4 linked regions of the Arabidopsis thaliana genome follow. The protein of the gene in region 1 interacts with the protein of each later gene in a pairwise test. Each region holds a gene or a part of one and is shown on either strand. Other genes may lie near its edges. The genes, in order: bZIP, AT3G16160, AT4G25410 and AT2G13960.

The links.
Region 2: the proteins of bZIP (region 1) and AT3G16160 interact in a two-hybrid assay, tested with the Arabidopsis thaliana proteins (one large-scale study listed by BioGRID).
Region 3: the proteins of bZIP (region 1) and AT4G25410 interact in a two-hybrid assay, tested with the Arabidopsis thaliana proteins (one large-scale study listed by BioGRID).
Region 4: the proteins of bZIP (region 1) and AT2G13960 interact in a two-hybrid assay, tested with the Arabidopsis thaliana proteins (one large-scale study listed by BioGRID).

What each region holds. Positions count from the first base shown.
Region 1 is NC_003070.9:25,892,719-25,896,806, forward strand, and holds bZIP (basic leucine-zipper 8), read right to left. Parts: upstream 2,339-4,088; 5' UTR 2,198-2,338; coding exon 1,781-2,197; 3' UTR 1,253-1,780; downstream 1-1,252. Other genes in the region: AT1G68877 (chaperonin 60 subunit beta), read right to left, coding at 587-775.
Region 2 is NC_003074.8:5,472,245-5,477,443, forward strand, and holds AT3G16160 (Tesmin/TSO1-like CXC domain-containing protein), read right to left. Parts: upstream 3,104-5,199; 5' UTR 2,847-3,103; coding exon 2,710-2,846; intron 2,603-2,709; coding exon 2,507-2,602; intron 2,370-2,506; coding exon 2,201-2,369; intron 2,094-2,200; coding exon 1,863-2,093; intron 1,776-1,862; coding exon 1,678-1,775; intron 1,589-1,677; coding exon 1,485-1,588; intron 1,394-1,484; coding exon 1,122-1,393; downstream 1-1,121. Other genes in the region: ASPGB1 (N-terminal nucleophile aminohydrolases (Ntn hydrolases) superfamily protein), read left to right, coding at 1-20, 109-195, 295-789; AAE13 (AMP-dependent synthetase and ligase family protein), read left to right, coding at 3,809-3,980, 4,226-4,395, 4,509-4,694, 5,016-5,187. UniProt on the Arabidopsis thaliana protein: Plays a role in development of both male and female reproductive tissues.
Region 3 is NC_003075.7:12,983,668-12,988,500, reverse strand, and holds AT4G25410 (basic helix-loop-helix (bHLH) DNA-binding superfamily protein), read right to left. Parts: upstream 2,841-4,833; 5' UTR 2,730-2,840; coding exon 2,505-2,729; intron 2,343-2,504; coding exon 1,983-2,342; intron 1,899-1,982; coding exon 1,818-1,898; 3' UTR 1,773-1,817; intron 1,386-1,772; 3' UTR 980-1,385; downstream 1-979.
Region 4 is NC_003071.7:5,857,549-5,862,406, reverse strand, and holds AT2G13960 (Homeodomain-like superfamily protein), read right to left. Parts: upstream 2,917-4,858; 5' UTR 2,725-2,916; coding exon 2,683-2,724; intron 2,312-2,682; coding exon 2,160-2,311; intron 2,104-2,159; coding exon of another isoform or gene 2,015-2,103; coding exon 1,963-2,014; coding exon of another isoform or gene 1,864-1,962; exon of another isoform or gene 1,812-1,863; coding exon 1,754-1,811; intron 1,451-1,753; coding exon 1,302-1,450; 3' UTR 1,096-1,301; downstream 1-1,095. Other genes in the region: AT2G13950 (Cysteine/Histidine-rich C1 domain family protein), read right to left, coding at 3,158-3,226, 3,387-4,858.

The sequences.
Region 1 (4,088 bases):
ATATGCTTGTTCAATAGCAACTATAGTGAGTTACTTCGTACATATAAAAAAAAATAGAAATAGAGAGAAGCTTCAGTCTCCTCTGTTATTGGCATTCGCAGTCTTATGAAAACAAAATTCACAATTAGCAAGAAGAAATAATGTATATTCACTACAATAAAAAAGGTGTTTTCGTCACTTATATATACTTATATAAGTGACACTCTGAAATTGGTCATGCAAATATCATTGGAAAAAATTGGTCATGCATGCATGGGCATGTAAATAATGCTACATTAGTAACGTGTAACTTTATATGTATTGATTCTTGATTACAATTTTTCACACTACACATTCCTCGTACAAGTTAAACTAGTGAGGCCTTGGTGAGAGTTTCTCTTCTCCTCTCGATGTGCTGAAAGACAAAGTTAAACGTTCCATGAAACAATATAGATATAGACTCAAATATTTAATTACTTGTATAAATATCGAATATCGTACTATTTTATAGAAAGCAACGAAGTCATTGACCAGTTCCGGTTTTAACGTGACTGGATCCATGTAAAAAGGGGTTATACTTATAACTTATACATAAAGCGAACGTCTCTTACGAATCTATATATCTCCGGTGAGAAGTTAAAGCGGTGGAGATGGGAGTTGCGGCTTTGACGTGGTGGAAGAAAGCGACGGAGCAGAGGACAGAGGCAATGAGAGCAAAGAATCCAAATCCGATCATTAGAGAGACACCGGCGACGATAAGATCCATCGCCGTTTGAATGCTCATTATGCCCATCATCTTCAGATTCTTTAGTTTTAGAAATGGTTTGGATAATGGAACTATTATAAGAGGGTGAAACAGAATGGCATAGCAATTGCCTTTGGAAATGGTGAAACAGAATGCATTGCCACCACGTTACGTGATAAACTCAAATTTACGACACCTTGAACTAATTCTTTTAAAATACAGAAATACAAAACAAAACCGAAACTTTTTTTATCCAAATTCGAACTGAACCTAAACTTGGACTAAACCGAATTAAAATTTGCTTTTATTTGATACTTATTTTCAAAATTCATTGTACTAAACCAAAAAGCCTAAACCAAACTAAACAGAAAAACTGAATGTCCATGCCAAATTATTATGGTCAAATTATTTTATGGTAATATCATAATAATAAGGATATAGTTTGTCAAGCTTTGAATAAAACTAAATCAATTTATGGGAGTATGATAAATTATTTGACGACGGTTTTTAAAACTATAGTGATAAGGATATAATTAATGTTTTGGCTTTGGATAAAATTGAGTCAGTTTATGGGAATGTGATAAATGATTTGACTATTGTTTTAGAAATTTTACAATAGTCGTTGATTGAGCCGAATCTAAATATCGTTAGTAGATAAAGACTTGTCAGATTATATATGAACACTTTCTTTTGGAAATATTTGGTTTATAGACCCGTAACAAGTTCAGACAGGGATCAAGAACATTTCGAAAGAGACAAAGATGATGCATACATCGATATGGACCTGTTTATTTATTAGAACATGAAAATATATAGTTTTTATTTTTTTGTAACCAAAAAGTTTTGGACCATAGGTCCGAAATTCAAAACAGAGCAAAGTCCCCTGAACACCCCCAATGACAAAATTCGAACCTGAGATCTAAAGAACACTCTCTTTAGGTTATATTTTTGGTAAAATATATTTGATTATATTGTTATAGATTCATTTGAGATGTTTGTATACCTTGGTCCTCTTCTTTAAATAAACAACAAAAAACCAACAAGCTTACGAGACGATTAGAAGGTCCAGATCTGATCGGCCTCTACGCTAAGAAACCTATTAAGCCCGATCTCACCAATCATCTTCCTCGACTTGGAGTTTTCCTCTCGAAGTTTCATGTTCTCTTCTATAACCTTCTCGTAACATTCCCTGGCTTGGCTTAGCTCATCGACTAGAGATTTGTTCTTATTGATGAGTTGAACAAGCATGGACCACAGTTCTTCCATGTGACGCTGTTTCCGCATACGCGATCTCCGAGCTGACTCGCGGTTCGATACCTTCCTTCTCCGCTTCCTCTCATTATCTTCTGCAGTCCGGCTAGAGTCGTCTGACGTGGCAGGCAAGTTTGAAAGTGGTACTCGATCAACAAAGATTTGGAATAAAGACTGTGGATTAGGGTTTTGACTTGGAAGGTTATAGACAGAACCAGCCATGAAAAAAACAGTTATGCGTTCTTTAAGAAAATTTTTGTTGACAAGTATGATGGTATAGATCAATGAAATGCACTCTAATTTTGGTTTTTATAGATGAATAAATCGAAAGTAGTGTTACCTTACACTAATAACTAATCCAAGTGGCTGAAGCATACGTAAATTTTAATAAAATAGAAGGAGAAGAAAAAGAGAAGTTCTAATCGTGAGATTGATGAGTCATGAAGCACTTGAAAGGTGAAAGTAAGTAGATGGCATGAAGGGGACCATTGCGGAGAAAATCAAAGACTATATTATAAATTATTCAAAGAAAGCGTGAGAGGTAGCGACTCGTCGACGCACCATGTTTCTTTTCGAGCAACCATATCTAATTTTTTTAAGAGCGTACTTTATTTTTTTTATATACGTAATTATTCGATAATCCAATGGTTTATGAAATTTGTGGGTAATGATGTAGCATAAAGTGACTTTAGTCCTTGTACATAATTTATAGTGTTAAAGAGTTGACAATGAAGAAATTTTACCAAAAACTACTATAGTTCCTGAAGCCTAATTGCGAGAGTTGTGGTCGGATAGCTAAAATGTGCTTTTAGAAATTTTGCATTAGGTAACATGTTTTTACCAAGTCAAATAAAGTCTAGTGAATGAAAATAATATCTTATAGCTGGGATGAAATATATTGGCAATTTTTTTTTTGGATAAATACTCTAAATATATTGGTATTTACCTTCACCATTTAGAGTGAATGTCACTTGGGGTTGGGGTATCAGATTGGTTAAATTTGCTTTATTAGGCGGTAATTTTTAGTAGCAGTTATAAATAATATTTTATCTAAAGTAAGGATTAGAATATTGATGTTTTCTGCTAGTAAAGAAGTTTCCTAGATCCACTTAAAGCCAATCATCTTAGTGGCGTGATGGTATCAAACATATATAGATGAATGTTTGAAAAACTCGAGAGTGCGAGACGCATCAAATTGCAAACGAGTCTGTTCATATTATAATGACATGTTGAATTATCTTAATAAGACAATTTTAGCCATCTAGATGTTAATCGGCTAACTATTTTGCTATAGAATAAGGATTCATCCAATAACATCAAAATATAGCCCTGTTATTCATAATTTATGTAAGAAGAGAAAATACTTTTCTATGACAATTAAGCGAATTAATCCATTAGCTGCTCCAAGGGGTAACTAATGAAAGTCAATTAAAGCTTCAAGTGACGTATCACATACTCACAATGAAACACTTATTTTGCTGATGTTATGGACCATTATGGTTTTATTGATTAGAAAGCAAATATTATAATGTGAAACTCTAGTGGTAGAGATTTCTTGCTTGTCTTTTACTAGTTTCCAGCTACTCTTGTTTTGTCCGTTTTGGCTATTCCACGATCTACAACTTTCGGGTTCATATCAATGTCCAAGAGGATATTACTAGCAATTCCTCCTATGATGTGAAATCGTCTAGTGCCAAAAATATATCAGTTTTAAAAGCATTGGTTTAACTTACCAAGCATAAAGTAATGAAGACATTACTTTTTTTTGGCACAAACTCATAGAAAAGTATTATCTATGATTCTTCAAAATAAAACCCAAGTAGTTTTATGAGAATTTATATTTTGAAGCTTTGTCATACAACAACTTGTTGTGATAAACAACCAACTAGATTTTAATCCGCGGTACACCGCATGACAATTTATTTTAAAAATTAGTTTATATAAAAATTTGTAAATTATATTTATTTATAAAATTTATATTTTATAGTTTATATTTATTATTAAGTGAAAATATACCATAAATTTATGAGATAAATATTAATAAATTAAAGATTTAACCCATATGTTAATATTTATTTTGAAATTATATAAATACAAAAATAACCGAACGGTT
Region 2 (5,199 bases), on another chromosome or scaffold:
AGGATTTCGCCCGCAAACAGGTGTTTATTTACTATTTTACCCTTCCACTTTTTATTCTAAACCACTTGGTTAGATAAATCTTCTGACCGAAGCCGGTTTAATGAGAAGGGAGTTGAAATTGTGGACAACGAGTACTTTGTCACGGACGACAACGTAGGAATGCTCAAGTTGGCCAAGGAAGCTAACTCCATCTTGGTACGTTTTTGACTTAAATCTCCACCGTCCATTTATTCATCGTACGTTTTTCTTTATTTTGTATCCTCAACTTTTTCTTTTTTTTTGCTTTCTCACCAGTTTGATTACCGGATTCCGCCGATGGGATGTGCCGGTGCAGCTGCGACCGACAGTCCAATCCAAATGAACGGTCTTCCGATCAGCATTTACGCACCGGAGACAGTCGGGTGCGTTGTGGTTGACGGGAAAGGACATTGTGCCGCCGGGACATCCACGGGTGGTTTAATGAACAAGATGATGGGAAGGATTGGTGACTCGCCGCTGATAGGAGCCGGGACGTATGCGTCGGAGTTTTGTGGTGTGTCGTGTACCGGAGAAGGAGAAGCCATTATAAGAGCAACCCTAGCTCGTGATGTGTCAGCTGTTATGGAGTATAAAGGACTTAACCTCCAAGAAGCGGTTGATTACGTCATCAAGCATCGACTTGACGAAGGGTTCGCTGGACTCATTGCTGTCTCGAATAAAGGAGAGGTGGTTTGTGGTTTTAACTCTAATGGGATGTTCAGGGGATGTGCAACTGAGGATGGATTCATGGAGGTTGCTATTTGGGAGTGAGAAATATTTTAGATTAAGAAAATGTCTTACTAGTATTTAATCAGTCATCGCTCTATTAATTTGGTTATTCATTATCATAAAGCTGGAGGAGTAAATTTAGTTATGTCGTTATCACCAGTCCTATATTGATTTGTGTTTAATGCGGTTTCAAATGGTTAGTTCGTGTTTAAAATTGTTGATCTGTCTCAGCTCCATGCCTAATCAAGAAACTATGGTTCAGCTCTCTGTTTCTTGTATGAACCTTACCTGTCATAAATAGCAACAAAAAAGTGCAGTAATTGGATTTATTTGAGGATGGAGGGATTATCAAAATGAGATGGAATTATTACCTGTTATGATTCCAGTCTCGATTTGATGAACTTTTGGAGACAGTCTCTGAAAGTTTCAAGCACTGCCCTTTCCTGCTCCATGTATATATCTGTTTCATTGACACTTGTCTTGGTCTTACATTGGGAATCCTCTTCTCCATTGTATTGAACATCTATCAGTTCGATCAATCTTCCACGTGATTGTATTTCTTCTTCCACATTACGACTCTCAGACTCACTTGACAGCTCAATGGCTTCCTTATCATCAGGCTTTGTAAATATCCTGTTCTGGTCCTCTAAGTGAGATTTTAAAGGAAGTATGTTGATGAAGCCAAAGGAATAGTAGATCCAGTAAAGTGTAGATTTTGTAAGAGACTACAGATATACCTGCAGTTGTTGTAGCAGATTCTGACGCTGCAACGAGAAGTGAGCATAAATCTCCCAAGTCCGGAAGAAGTGTAGAGGTGTATCCCATGAGGGACCTTTTCTTTCTAGTAGCACAATGAAAATTCAGTTAAAATATTTATGATTATGAGGTGAAGGAAGATGAACTATCATTTTAGGAAATGCAAAATCGAACCTGTAAGGAAGTTTAGGAGAGCAAGACATAGGGGAACCCAGAGCATTTTGAATGGAATTGTCAGGTATCGAAAATAACGGAGCTGGACAAGAATTCCACTGCTATTCCGGACAGAAAAATGAGTTTTATGGAGATAAACCCAAAAGTGCATATATGTTATGAAGCAAGTAGTATATTTCACTTGCCTCAGTTAGCTCTCGGTCTCTTCTCCTCCGGTATACTTGTGGGGAATTGTGAGCAGAAAATGCAGGAGGCTGGAACGCTTCACTAACATTCTTGCAGTTGATGCATTTACAGTTGTCTGAGCACAGAAGATTAGCCTGAAAGCACTCACAGTACTTCTTCAAACACCTGGTTCTTTTACATTTGCAGCCTCTCGAAAGCAGTCCAGGTTTAGTATCAGGTGCAGCCTTACACTACAATACAAAACACAGAACATCCCAGATACTTACAAATGAAAAAGGATGTGAAATATACCTCTTTGAAGCTTAACCTACAAAAGTGATAGGTGTCAAGAACATACCTGATTATCAGTTAGGCTACCTAAAGCCTTTTCACTGAAGGCATTTGGGTTGCGACCTAGTACATTCACCATAGCTGCTTCTCTAGCATCACATTTCTCAGAGTTGTTATGACAATCAACACAATCACAGTCTGTACATACCACTCCTGATGCAAAACAGTCACAGTACCTAATAACCAAGCGTCAAACAAATATCCAATAATGCATCAATCTACAGCAGATAATAGAAATCTCACTATTCAACATTATACTCAAATCTCTATCAGCTTAACACTAAGTAATTCTTGGATCCTGAAATGAACTTACAACTTTAAACATTTGGACTGCTTGCATCGACATCCTTTGTGTTTCCTCGAAGTAATGCCTTCTTCATCTGTCTTATCCTTTGCTTCTGAATGCTCTCTGCTTCAAAATCAAGACCAGTGGAGATCAGAGAGTAGATTTTGGATTGAAATTACTCAAACGAGAAGCATCTCTAGTGAAAATTGGCAGAGAAACTGGAACAATACCGAGAAATCGGAGGAAAAAGAGGAAGTTCTTTAACAGGAGATTCTCGGAAGACGGGAGATACCTCCAATTTGGTGAAAACGAGCTTCCTAGGGTCTTTCTCTGTCGCGATTTTGCCGGAATCTGCGTTTCCTGTCATATCGGTCCTTGACACATTATAGTCGCCACACAAGTTAGTTCCTCAATTTGGCGAACCGATTAGAGCATGAACGGTGAGGAATCCTCAGAGAAGCGTCGATTCATAGATCAGATCAGATCAGTGTATCGGAGAGTCGCCATGGCTGACAGATATCAGAACAAAAATGGAATGCTGGATCCTAATTCGGAACGATGAATGATTGTCTCTCTCTCGATTTTTTTTTTGGCCAGCTCCAAGGGGTTTTCTAAGAAACAAAAAGGTTCTGTGAACAACGCGAAGGTATTCAAAAGCGAGAGAGAGTGATCTTGGAGGGAATGATGATGTGTTGATGACGAAGATGGAGTTGGATTAAAGAAATCTAATTTCATGATTAATAATTTAATATAACAAAATTAGTCTTCTCCAATGCTCAAACCGGAGACCTAAGATGTACACTCCCTTTAAAAGGTACTGATAAAAAAAAAGTTATTAATTGCATGTTGGCATTAAATAGAATCTTCCTCTAGAGTTCAAAACTTCACAATAATAAAATCAATGCATATCAAAGCATATGTATAAGATGTTAGCTAACCACAATTGTTATTCATCAACGGTCAGGATCACATCACTCAAAATGCAATATTCAGATGGTCTTTAATTTTGTGTAAATATACTTAGAAAGAAATTCACAACACAAATAAATGAGAAAAAGCAAATCAGTAATTAACCTTAAAAAAATGCCTAATAAAGCGTCATTAAAGAATAACCCATTATCGCCTGTCACTCACTTTTAATCATCAAAACACGCCACGTGCCAAACTCTCCACTGAATCAAAGTCGCCAAACGCTTCAGTCGCTATTTCATGATCGACACGAAGGCTCTCTTTTGGCGATTGCAACCACCACCTAAGAAGAACGGCTACGTAATTTGACTGTACGACTTGCGAAAAAAGTCGAAACCTTTTAACGAACCAGACCTAAAAATGACCGCTACGACAACATTAAAGAGTTTCAACTACTTGTCTTTAATTAACCATCGACTCAACCACAACTCCTACGCTATTCTCTCCTCTCCTCTTCTTCCTCGATCCCACCCAGCTTCTACTTCGTTTTCCAATTCTGGGTTTCGATTCTTCCAATCTAACCATCTCTTCTGTAAGTTTTCTTCTTTACCTTTGTTTGGTTTTTGCATGTTACATGTTCGACGAAATGTCTTAAAGATTCGTGCTTTCCATATAGTAACATTGATGATCCGTAAAAACCTGAACAAGTTGTTGTTTTGATCTGAATTTATATTGAAAATTTTGCAGCATCTCCAAGGAACTCAATCTGTTCTTTTTTTGTACATGTAGTTTCTATATATTAATCTGAATTTTATCTATGTAATCAAAATGTTGCAGCTTCACAGTCTGGTTCACTCATGGAAGTGTTTAAAGCAGCTTTTTCAGAAGCGTCTAATTCTTGTGATAGGATTGCGATTAAAGCCGATGGAAAGAGTTACTCTTATGGCCAGCTAACATCGTCTGCTTTGAGGATATCTAAATTGTTCTTAAAAGATGATACGACAAATGTATGGTTTTTGGTTTGAAATTGTAGCTACTATATCTACTACTTGAAGCTATCACACAGTTTGTTTACAGCTTTATGGTTATTGACTTTTTTTGTCTTCTATAAATTTCGTAGGGAGGTCAAGAAACTAAGAAGTATGAAGGGTTTGGTAGTCTAAAAGGAGCTAGAATCGGAATTGTGGCAAAACCTTCAGCTGAGTTTGTTGCAGGAGTCCTGGGGACATGGTTTAGCGGTGGTGTAGCGGTTCCACTTGCACTCAGCTATCCTGAGGCTGAACTCTTACATGTCATGAATGATTCGGTATGGAATCTACTTGCCTTCCTATTTCCTTGTGCTTTAATTTCGGCTCAATTGTTAGGTATTCTTGATCTTATTTTTGTGATCTCAGAATTTTGATCCAAGCTCTTGGTTTTTCTAGCATTAGGTCTTTTTCCATAGACTAAAAAGGGTACTCTGTAGAACAAAGTAGAAAATATTCTAAAAGGCAGAAGTTTTCTGGTTTGCTCTGTTTTCTACCACATTCAAGTTTCACAAAATAAGTGTGCCTTATGCTCTTTTTACTCTCGAGAAAAAATGATTAACATTTTCTTGGGATCTAACCTCGTTGTCTTCGGTTTCTAGGATATATCTCTGTTATTGAGCACAGAGGACCATAGTGAAACTATGAAAACCATCGCAGCAAAGAGTGGTGCTCGATTTCATCTTATTCCTCCTGTTGTTAACTCAACTTCGGAAACTGTTGCTTGCAATCAGTTTCAGGATGACAGTTTTGAAGCAGAAGGAAAGTTTCTAGGTAAGTTTTTGA
Region 3 (4,833 bases), on another chromosome or scaffold:
TTTTAACAACCACACATTTAAATTAAAAAATAAGACTCCTAGTTGATAATTAATTAAATTACCAATAATGATATAAGATATCAAACGAATATTAGTGAGATCTTAACCACTCATCATGCGTATCTCTTAAAACATTTGAACTACTGTCAACTTCGCTTAAGTTCGTGACATGTATTAATTAAAGTGACTATTTAGATCTAAAGTAATGAGATTTTATTAAATAATATGTGGTCGATCTGTTCATATGCTTATGGGTACGTATGAAAAGAAAAGAAACCAAGATTCTGGGGATATGTATAATACTGTGTCGTATCGTGAACTACAAAAGAAAGTGAGATTTTGCAAATTCAAGATTTAAAAATAGAAAGGTGGTTCTCTGCATTGAATCTTAGGCTTTTATCTATGGCAATTTTGTAATATGCTTCTTATTTCCGAAAAAAATATCGTAATTAAATATCATAATCTTGTATAAATAATTTGTCTGACTTCACATTTGCTATGTCATTTACTCATTTGATGATGTGAGGCCTTGTGCTTATGAATTAAATAGTTATTTAAAATTTCAAAATAGTGATGGCATTTGTATGTATGTTTATTTGTGTTAGGGTTATCAACTCATGCACGTACATTCAAACGATCTTTTATTGTGTGGTTACTGGTTAGTATTACCATCTGTTAGTTATTTGGAACTTCTATTTTACCACTTTCGAATCGCCCAAAGGATTGGTTGTATCGAGGTTAGTGCTACTACTTCATATATAGTCTCTCATCTTTGATATATATCGTAGAGATAACAGTTATGTTACTTCTCAATTTTCGCAGTTTTATGTGTGAACAATTCACATAAAATATCGAAATCTAATTCACCAATGTGGTACTGATAGCGTAGAGAATAGTAGGCTAGAAACAACCTAGCAGATTCTGACTATTATAGAGCCCAAAAGATGGTTCTCACCTACCCTTGCTTCATACTTATCTGGTTAGAACTAGGCGATATATATATATTATGCTATTGTATTGGCCTTTATTTTACTATGCCCTTCCGGATTTTCCTTCTAATACAGGTCTAAATGATTCATGGATATGTATTACAGAAAAACTTATTTTCCATACGAGAAAACCCAAGAAAACCTAACAATGGAGTGATACAAAATGTTATAATGAAAGGGAAACAAAAAAATGGCTTGCCCGTGAGAAAAAAAAAATCTCTACTGAAAACATCAGACCCTTGGTCTTTACGGCGGCGAATCATGGTGAAGTTATGATCTACCCCATGAAGTCACTTGAACTTGTTTAAACCAAAGCTACACCTCAATCCATGAATGAACTTTAACACCTATGCACCTTGCTCTCATAACGAAATTTCAAGAAGACTTTGATTTTTTCTGCATCAAGTATACGGTGAGATTAGTTCATTAGAACATCAACCATAGTTATAATGTTGTAAAACACATGAACAAAAATACACCATATCGAACATTGCTAATATTAGTCTTCCATTGATATATGAACTAGAACCATGTGAAATTCTAGTGTTTATAATTATATATGACTTTCACATTAGTTCTTAACTTCTAAGTATATATAAGTTCATGAACAAGAAAACAATAATTGGAGCAACAAACATATGATATCTACAAAAAATACTGTTTTATATCCACTAACATGCAAGGCTTCAATACCACATCTAAAAAGGACAATAATTTGGAAATGAGTTTCTATTTAGCTAAGCTCATATAACGAATGAAGAGCTCGGGTAAAAGAGATCATACGATGAGGAAGTTCTTTAGGACTACGAATGGTATGTTTCTGCATGATTAGTACCCCGTCGAAAGTATCAAATCCTCAACTAGCTTCTGCTGCAACCATAATAAGTCTATGCATCCGAAACTATTAACCTGTATTGAATATAGTTAAATGTAATGAAACCCTAGATTAACTTCCATTGACATGGCATGTTGACATGTTGTAACCAACCATACCTCTACTTGAATAGTGTGCATGAGCCTATCATTGACTCTTGTAGTGAAGGAGCTCATGACTTCAAGCCCTTTCTCCTGAATTGTCTCGAGCACTTTTGATAGTGGCAAAGCTTCGGGGCCTGAGGAGTTGCTGCTCACTACCACTTCTAAACCGCTCACGTGTGGTTGCACCATCACAGTCGCCGGCTCCGATTTGCCTACATCGGATCCAGTTTTTCCTGGATCCGGATTCGATTTATATCCTTGGCCGGTTTCTCTACTTAACTCGTCTCTTCTTGCACTAAGTTCTTTAATCCGTGCTTCCGTGTCCTTAATGAAATTTACCGCTCCATTTACATGATCCGACACAGCTCTTTTTCCCTATAAATAAAGATTAAATACAAAACTAAATTAAATACAAAAAACGACATATTCACAACCCTAGCAGCCAAATCTCACCAAATCTTGGTTTCTTCGAACAATTGATATAACGAAAAAGTAAATAAATTTGAGAGAAAAGAGTGAGTAATTAAGAATATGAACCTTGATGTATTTAAGAGGTAAGTGAGTACGAAGAGTAGCAAAGAGTGTAGCCATTTCTTGTCTTCTTTGGCGTTCGATGTCGCGGTGGAGAAGCTTCTTCTTCTTCTTATTGTCATCTGTTTCATGGGCCGTACCGGAGCCGCCGCTGCCGCCACTCTCGCCGGCTGAGCTAAACGGTCTCTGTCTCTGGTAACCTTTTGGATTAAGATTCTTATAAGGATCCATAGTTTGACACTTTGAGCTTTACCAGTGTCAGATCTCCAAAGGATTTTGTGGTTCTGTCTTGTGATAATTTAATTTCCTTTATTGTTTACTTGTTGAATGATGGTGCCTTAAAGAACCAGATGGTTCTCTATGTCTCCTTAGGTGAGAGGGAGGACCATTATTTAAATATTAAATAGATACACAGTAGGAGGACCAAATAATGCAGGTTACGGAATTACTCTTTTTTTTTTTTTAAATAAAATTGAAATAGTTATCAGTTTTTTTTTATTTCATTTATGGGATGAGCCTCGGGCTTGATTTGTAACAAACTAGTAGAATACAACTTATAGTCAATATATATACATAACAAAATAAAATCCTCTACAGTTTATTTAATTAAGAGAATTAAAACACATAATTATAAATTTTTGAAATTAATGTCAACTTAATAATTTATACCCTCCAAACAGCTTTTGTCATACCATCATCCAACACAAAATTTCCTTTATGTGAAATACCATTGCGAATCCATCTCTTTCCATGAAATACAGAATTAGTATCTAAAACGCAAACTGTTGGAAAAAAAAAAAAACCATAATGCACATTTTCTCTAAAACAAAATTATATTCTCATACAACTAGGAGGAACTGGAGAATATAACTATTTGACAAATGTCGACGTGAAAGTGCAACCATGTCTTAAGATTCGGATACATGAAAACAAAACCTCAAATCTCAACCGTTGATGATGTTGCGATGGTCGCATGTGGGCTCCGATCCTTTCTTTTTATTTGCACCTGCTCACACTGCAACTAGTCTTTTCACATGTTTATTAAACGTCCATATCCATTGCGTATCAGATATATAATGCTAAAGATATACTGTTCTTAAGAAGATACTATTTCAATATAATATGCTTTGAATATAAAAACCATGACATCCCTCCACAGTTTCCATTATTAAAAAATAATCCTTTTGGTAAAGGTTATCCTTTCAAGGCAAAGCAAATCCTTCTTCTCTGTCACGAATCCCTTGTTTTTTATATATATGTATATACGCATATTAAGAGCCACTATACTATAAAAGATAATCTCGTTGGATGTTTGACCAAAGTCTTTTCTTTAGGGATGTGTGTTGTATGCTGATATGCTCAATATACGCCATAAGCCATATTATGCCTGATATTAGCAACTTTTATAAACCAGATAAATTTGTAAAAAGAGAAAAATTTCATTCACTTATACTATACATTACGTTAAGAAAATGGATAGAGTTTTAAAGTTATAAGAGCTGGTATATAACAGTTTATATACAGTAATATTATTACATGCGTACAACCGCAATAATGTTTGCATATTATAGTCATGATAAAACAAGTTAACTATTTATTATGTAAATTATTTTTAAGACACGTTTCTGCTATAGTTTTATTACATGAGATGCATTTTTCCTATATCCCAAAAAGTACTATCTGATAGTTTTAATCTTATAAAATTAAAATTAGAAGCACGTTGTTATATTTACGTGTATGACCAAATGTCGAATCATGTCAACTCGATGATTGTCGGAAAATATGGATTATGCAAAGTTAAATTATTCCCTATCAGGCGATCGTACACACATGCCTTGTAGGAGTCACGACTAAACTAAAGACATCTCTTTAGACTTGTATATCTGACGGTTGCGAATAGAAGCCGCTATTTCTACAGTAACAACCAATTATTTCTGCAATAAAAAGTTTTAACCAATGATTTTTTTTATTTTTTTTATTTAAGTTCGTTCAAACGAATTAAAATATGTGTTTGGGGCGAAGTATCCTAATGATGTGGTAAATTATACAATTATATATTGCTCTTTTAAATAATTGTATTGTATTTCAATAGTTATTCGTAATAGATCGTTACAACAACATATTTACAATATATCTCCAGCTAAGTTCTCTATATTGACGCTATATTATTTATTAGGGTCATCAAAATTTATGATGAACTTTAGTTCTAAATAGATATGATTTCAAAATTTAAGAAAAGAAAAAAACAAATTGTGAGTTTTAAACAGAATCACCAAATATAAACGACTTTGGCCATGTGTTAAAAGATCACATTTTCTAGACCCTACTTGGCTAA
Region 4 (4,858 bases), on another chromosome or scaffold:
TCCAACTCTCAAGCTTTGTGATCTATATAGCTTAATATCATACCTAGTCTTAAGAGAGTACCTCAAAATAGCTATTTTGAAATCTTCTGGGTTATTGAATGTTTTCCCCAACCTCAAAAGCTTTTCAGGATCGTCAAATTCTGGCGTCATGAACTTCTTCATCATCACTATGGTACACTGGTTCTGGAATCTTCTCGTCATCCCAGATATCGTCACCACTGTCACCATCGCTTTCGTCTTCCTCCTCTCTCGCCTGTGCTCCAAATTCTGCTTCAAAATCTTCACAATCTTCTTCTTCCACACCTAGACCTCCATCGTCGTCTTCTTCTTCAACATCTTGTCCAACGTGTGCTTCTTCCACACCTACAGCTCCAACTTCATTGATTTCTTCTTCCTCGACCCCAACTCCATTGTTTTCTTCTTCCCCAACACCACCTCCATCGTTTCCTTCTTCCTCAACCCCAGCTGCAACGTTTCCTTCTTCCCCGACAGCACTTCTATCGTCTTCTTGCTGAACAGAAACAATGTCAATGTCCCATTGTTCCTCTCCACCATGTTCTTCGTTATTCCCGATTCTCTTGTCTGCATAGCAAACCTCTTCGCAATCTTCGTCACCAACAACCTCACAATCATCGCCACTCACAGGCTCACGATCTTCCTCAATATCTACTTCAACTACCTTCTTCCTTTTTCTTTTCTTTCGATTAGCCTCGTCGACAGAAGGAATTAAAATTGGTTCAGCTTCAGTAGGATTTGATTCGGCGGATGCTTGACTCAGTCTCCGTGATCGACGAACCGGATCTCTTCTCTTCCCCCCCACGAGTTTTAGCCATTTCGATCGAACAGAGAAATTGATAAGAGAGATGTCGAGTTTGAGAAGAGAAGAAAGAGAGATGTCGATTTGATTTAGGGATTTTAGGGATTAAAATTGGGTAACAGATAAAACGACGTTGTTTTATCTCGCTTTGTCTGAGAAAGAAACGACGTCGTTTTATTCTAACAGAGCAGCTAAACGGGAGTATTAACGTCGTAATCGATTCTATTAAACCTATTTAACGACGTGACTAAATAGACAAGTCAACAGAAACTTCGTCATTTATATAGAAAGTTAACAATAACTTTACGATTTATTAGTCTTCCTTGAAGTTCAAGATTAAATCGTCCAAAAATTGCAAGTTCATGATTTTTTCGACATTTTTCCCATATTAATATACACAGACAACGGATCATATGTACACAGATGGATTCAACGATGGAGCCACTGTAAACTTGTTGAAGAGAATTTTAGAGCTACCAAATATTTACGTAAAATGAAAACCAAAAAAAGTTTCAGAACATGAAAATGATAAGAGAACCTCTTGAGTCCAAGGTCCTTTAACAAGCTCTGGATTAAGAACTTTCTGCCACCTGTGCAAGCATTGGACTTGTGTTCTCTCTGGGAAAAATTCCGCTGTAAGATGAAATACAAAAAAATCAAACAAACAGAACATTGACCGAAACCAGCTACTTTAACATTTAAGAGACAAAAAAGAAATCATGGTTCTCTTGCACAGTGCACAGCAGAGATCATGTTTACTGAATGAGAAAAATTCACAAAATTCTCAGCAGATTTAAGATACGAGTTCAGTTTTAAAAATGTATAAATTATACATTCAAGTATACATACAAGAGTGTGATTAGAAGACCTATAATCTCATTCTAATGTATTGCAATACTACTTTTTCAGGAAACAGATTCAAGAAAAGAAATTTACCTATTTTCTTCCACCTCTTCCCCTTATACTTTTCAACTGCTCGTCTAAGTGTCTCATCCTGAATAGTGATAGAAACCAATTACAGACCACAATAATGCTAGCCTCCTCTTTCATTCAAGTGAACAGTAATCCTTATACATACAAGATACATAGTCGAATGAGGTTGCTCCAGACACCAACAAAATAATGAAACAAAAGCAACCACTAACCTCCTCTGGAGTCCAACCACCTTTTGCTCGTCTCATAGGTCCACTAGTCCTCCTGCAGATCAACATTAAAACATTGCAGAAACCCAAAATGAGTTCGGTGTAAGTCATCAAAGCACAGTCTTTCCAATCAATCAATTTCATAATAAGTTGTATAAACACACAGATAGAAGATGAAATGTAAAAGATAGTAAAAGTACCGAGGAAATGAAGATACTGTGGCAGGAGTTGCGATTTCAGGTGACTTGAGGAAGAAACAGCCACTGCCTTCGGATGCAGAGGAGCAAGAAGCAGCTAATGGTTGCTTATTCTCCATACATTGAATCTCAATCTTCATTTCACTTCTTTCCTCCTAAAACCCCATGAAAATCACCAAAATCCAGAATTTTCGTTAAAAACATGGATTGAGCACAAAATGAACAAGAACGTATCTTTATACAAATAATTAATCAAAACTCACAAAACCCTAAAAACTCAACGGCCGCAAAATAGAAGCCAGATCTCACCAAAAAAAACGAGTCGATTTCTTTCAAGCACAAGATGGATGTTTAGGGTTTATACAATCCTAATCATTAGAAACCAATTCAGACCCTGTTCCAAGACACGTTAAAACGTGTTCCGATTCAGACCTAAAACCCATGAACTCACACCAAAGTAGGCGAAGATAACAATCTGATCACAAGAAATGAAAAGCCCTAATCAGATTTCAGGGAAAAATCTGACCTTTTCCGGTGAACAAACCGGTGGATTCGAACTTGAGCTCATCGTGATCGACAGATAAGCGAATTCGCGAGGAGGAGGAAGAAGAAGGGAACGTTAAAAGAAAAACCAAAACTTTATTCGAAAAAAACTTTGCCCGTTGAACGAGAGAGCAGAGAGAAAGGAGAAGGAGACTAATTGGGATTAAAACAAATATTGTAACGAATACTTCTTCCGCCGACATAACTGCTAACCGCCGTTAACCTGGCACCGGCCGGTTTATTCAAAACCGACTCAAATGTTTTTCTTATAGTTCTTTCGAGTCGGTTTGGAATAAACCGGTTAAATGAATCGAGAAACATGTGTTTTTTACAAAATTTATTTATGTGACTGGGCTAATTATAATATTCTTTCGAATAGAAACGAAAACAACGAGTTTAATTCGTGGTTTGATAAAACGTAAACAACCAGACAACAAGAAGATGAAGCAAATGGGGAACTAGAAAAGTAGAGATCTAGAAGTAAACGACGAAGCACCGGCGATGATGACATTTAATCCATCGAACAACTGTAAGAGCAAAATGTCATTTCATGTCATTTGAAAATTACTTTGTGTGGACAACGATCTTCTTTATGACGATGGCAGAAAGGTCGAGTCATGGTATTGTTGGGAAGAATATGAATGTTTGACCTATAAGTCATTACAGTATGACCAGGTTTCAACATACACTCATCTCCCCAAGCAAACAATCAACATGGAGAGTGGTGCAACAGTCATCACACGCATAGAACCCACCTTTTCTTGAGTATATTAATTTCTTTTCGCATACCTCACACCAGTCTAATTGATCACTTCCCTCTTCCCCTTCCCGAAATGTGAGGAAATGTTTGTCATGCTTGTACTTTGCCTTGTATGGCAATGTAGCACACCTGAAACAAATAATATACTTGCATTCCATGCAATTTAGTTTTCTAATATAGTTATTTCCATCACCATCTTCTTGGCAAATTTGACATATCGCCGCTTTTTCTTCATCTGGCTCTAAGGCTAGAAATAAGGGATGCTTGTGGCCTTGATATTGAAATGGTTCGGAAATAGAGGCACACCGCAAATCAAGTGAGAAATCCTGACTATCATAGACAAAACCACAACTTGCACGCTTACAAGCACCACAGTCGAAGTAATTTCCTCTTCTTCTGTAATGATCGTATCCAATACTGACGACCTTAAGCGTAAGCGGGTGAGTATGCAACGGATGGTGTTTCTTTCTAGGGGCATTAACGCATGCTTCATGTAGGATGAATTCACATTTATCCAAACATGAATAGTACGTACCCTCATAGATTGGAAGGATGCACGCTTGACAAAACTTGTTTTCATCGTAAACTCTATTGATCTCGAGTTTTAGATGATGGTCATGAGAAAAATGGAGTATAATTCCATCAGCTATCGTCTCGTATGGCTCAACATCTATCTCAGGTTCTTCAGGTACTCCCTCGAGATCTTCTCCATTCCACACATCTTTTCGCAATGCACATCTTGTATGAACAAAATAATCACCACACTTGATGCAAGAGTAAGCACCATAATGATTGTCAACCTCCCTACGACAGACTCCGCAAGACCATTTTCCATATGGAAGAGAAGAGGTAAAAATGATACGGTGGTGGTGACGAGATATTTTTATGACATGCGTGAAATATAGACAATCTTGATGGACTACAAAGTCACATGGAACACAAACATAGGTGAGAATAGATTCTTTAATCAGGCCGCAAACATTGCAAGGTAAGAAAGCTTCCCTAGGGGAAAAAGTGAGAGGGTGGGGATGTCTTTTTGTGTGGTCTATAAAAATGGGTACTGGTTTCATCGCACAAACAGGATGCATACTCAGTTTGTGATTAGAAGAATGATAAATAATGTCTTGGAAACTTATATCACAACATATGCAATTCACAAGAGCAAAGGGAGAACTATAAAGTTGGAGAGATTGAAAGGGATAGGAAGGGTGTTTGATTTCAAGTGGAGACTCCACACATTCTTTGTGGAACTTCTTACGACATGTGGCACAAAAATAGTAGGCTGTGCCAAGATTTGTGAGTTTGCATGCACTACAACAGAAGTCGGCACCATTAGGTTCTTTATTGTTGCACCAAAAGAGAGGGACAACAGGGAGCTTACAGATAAGACCGCGGTTGT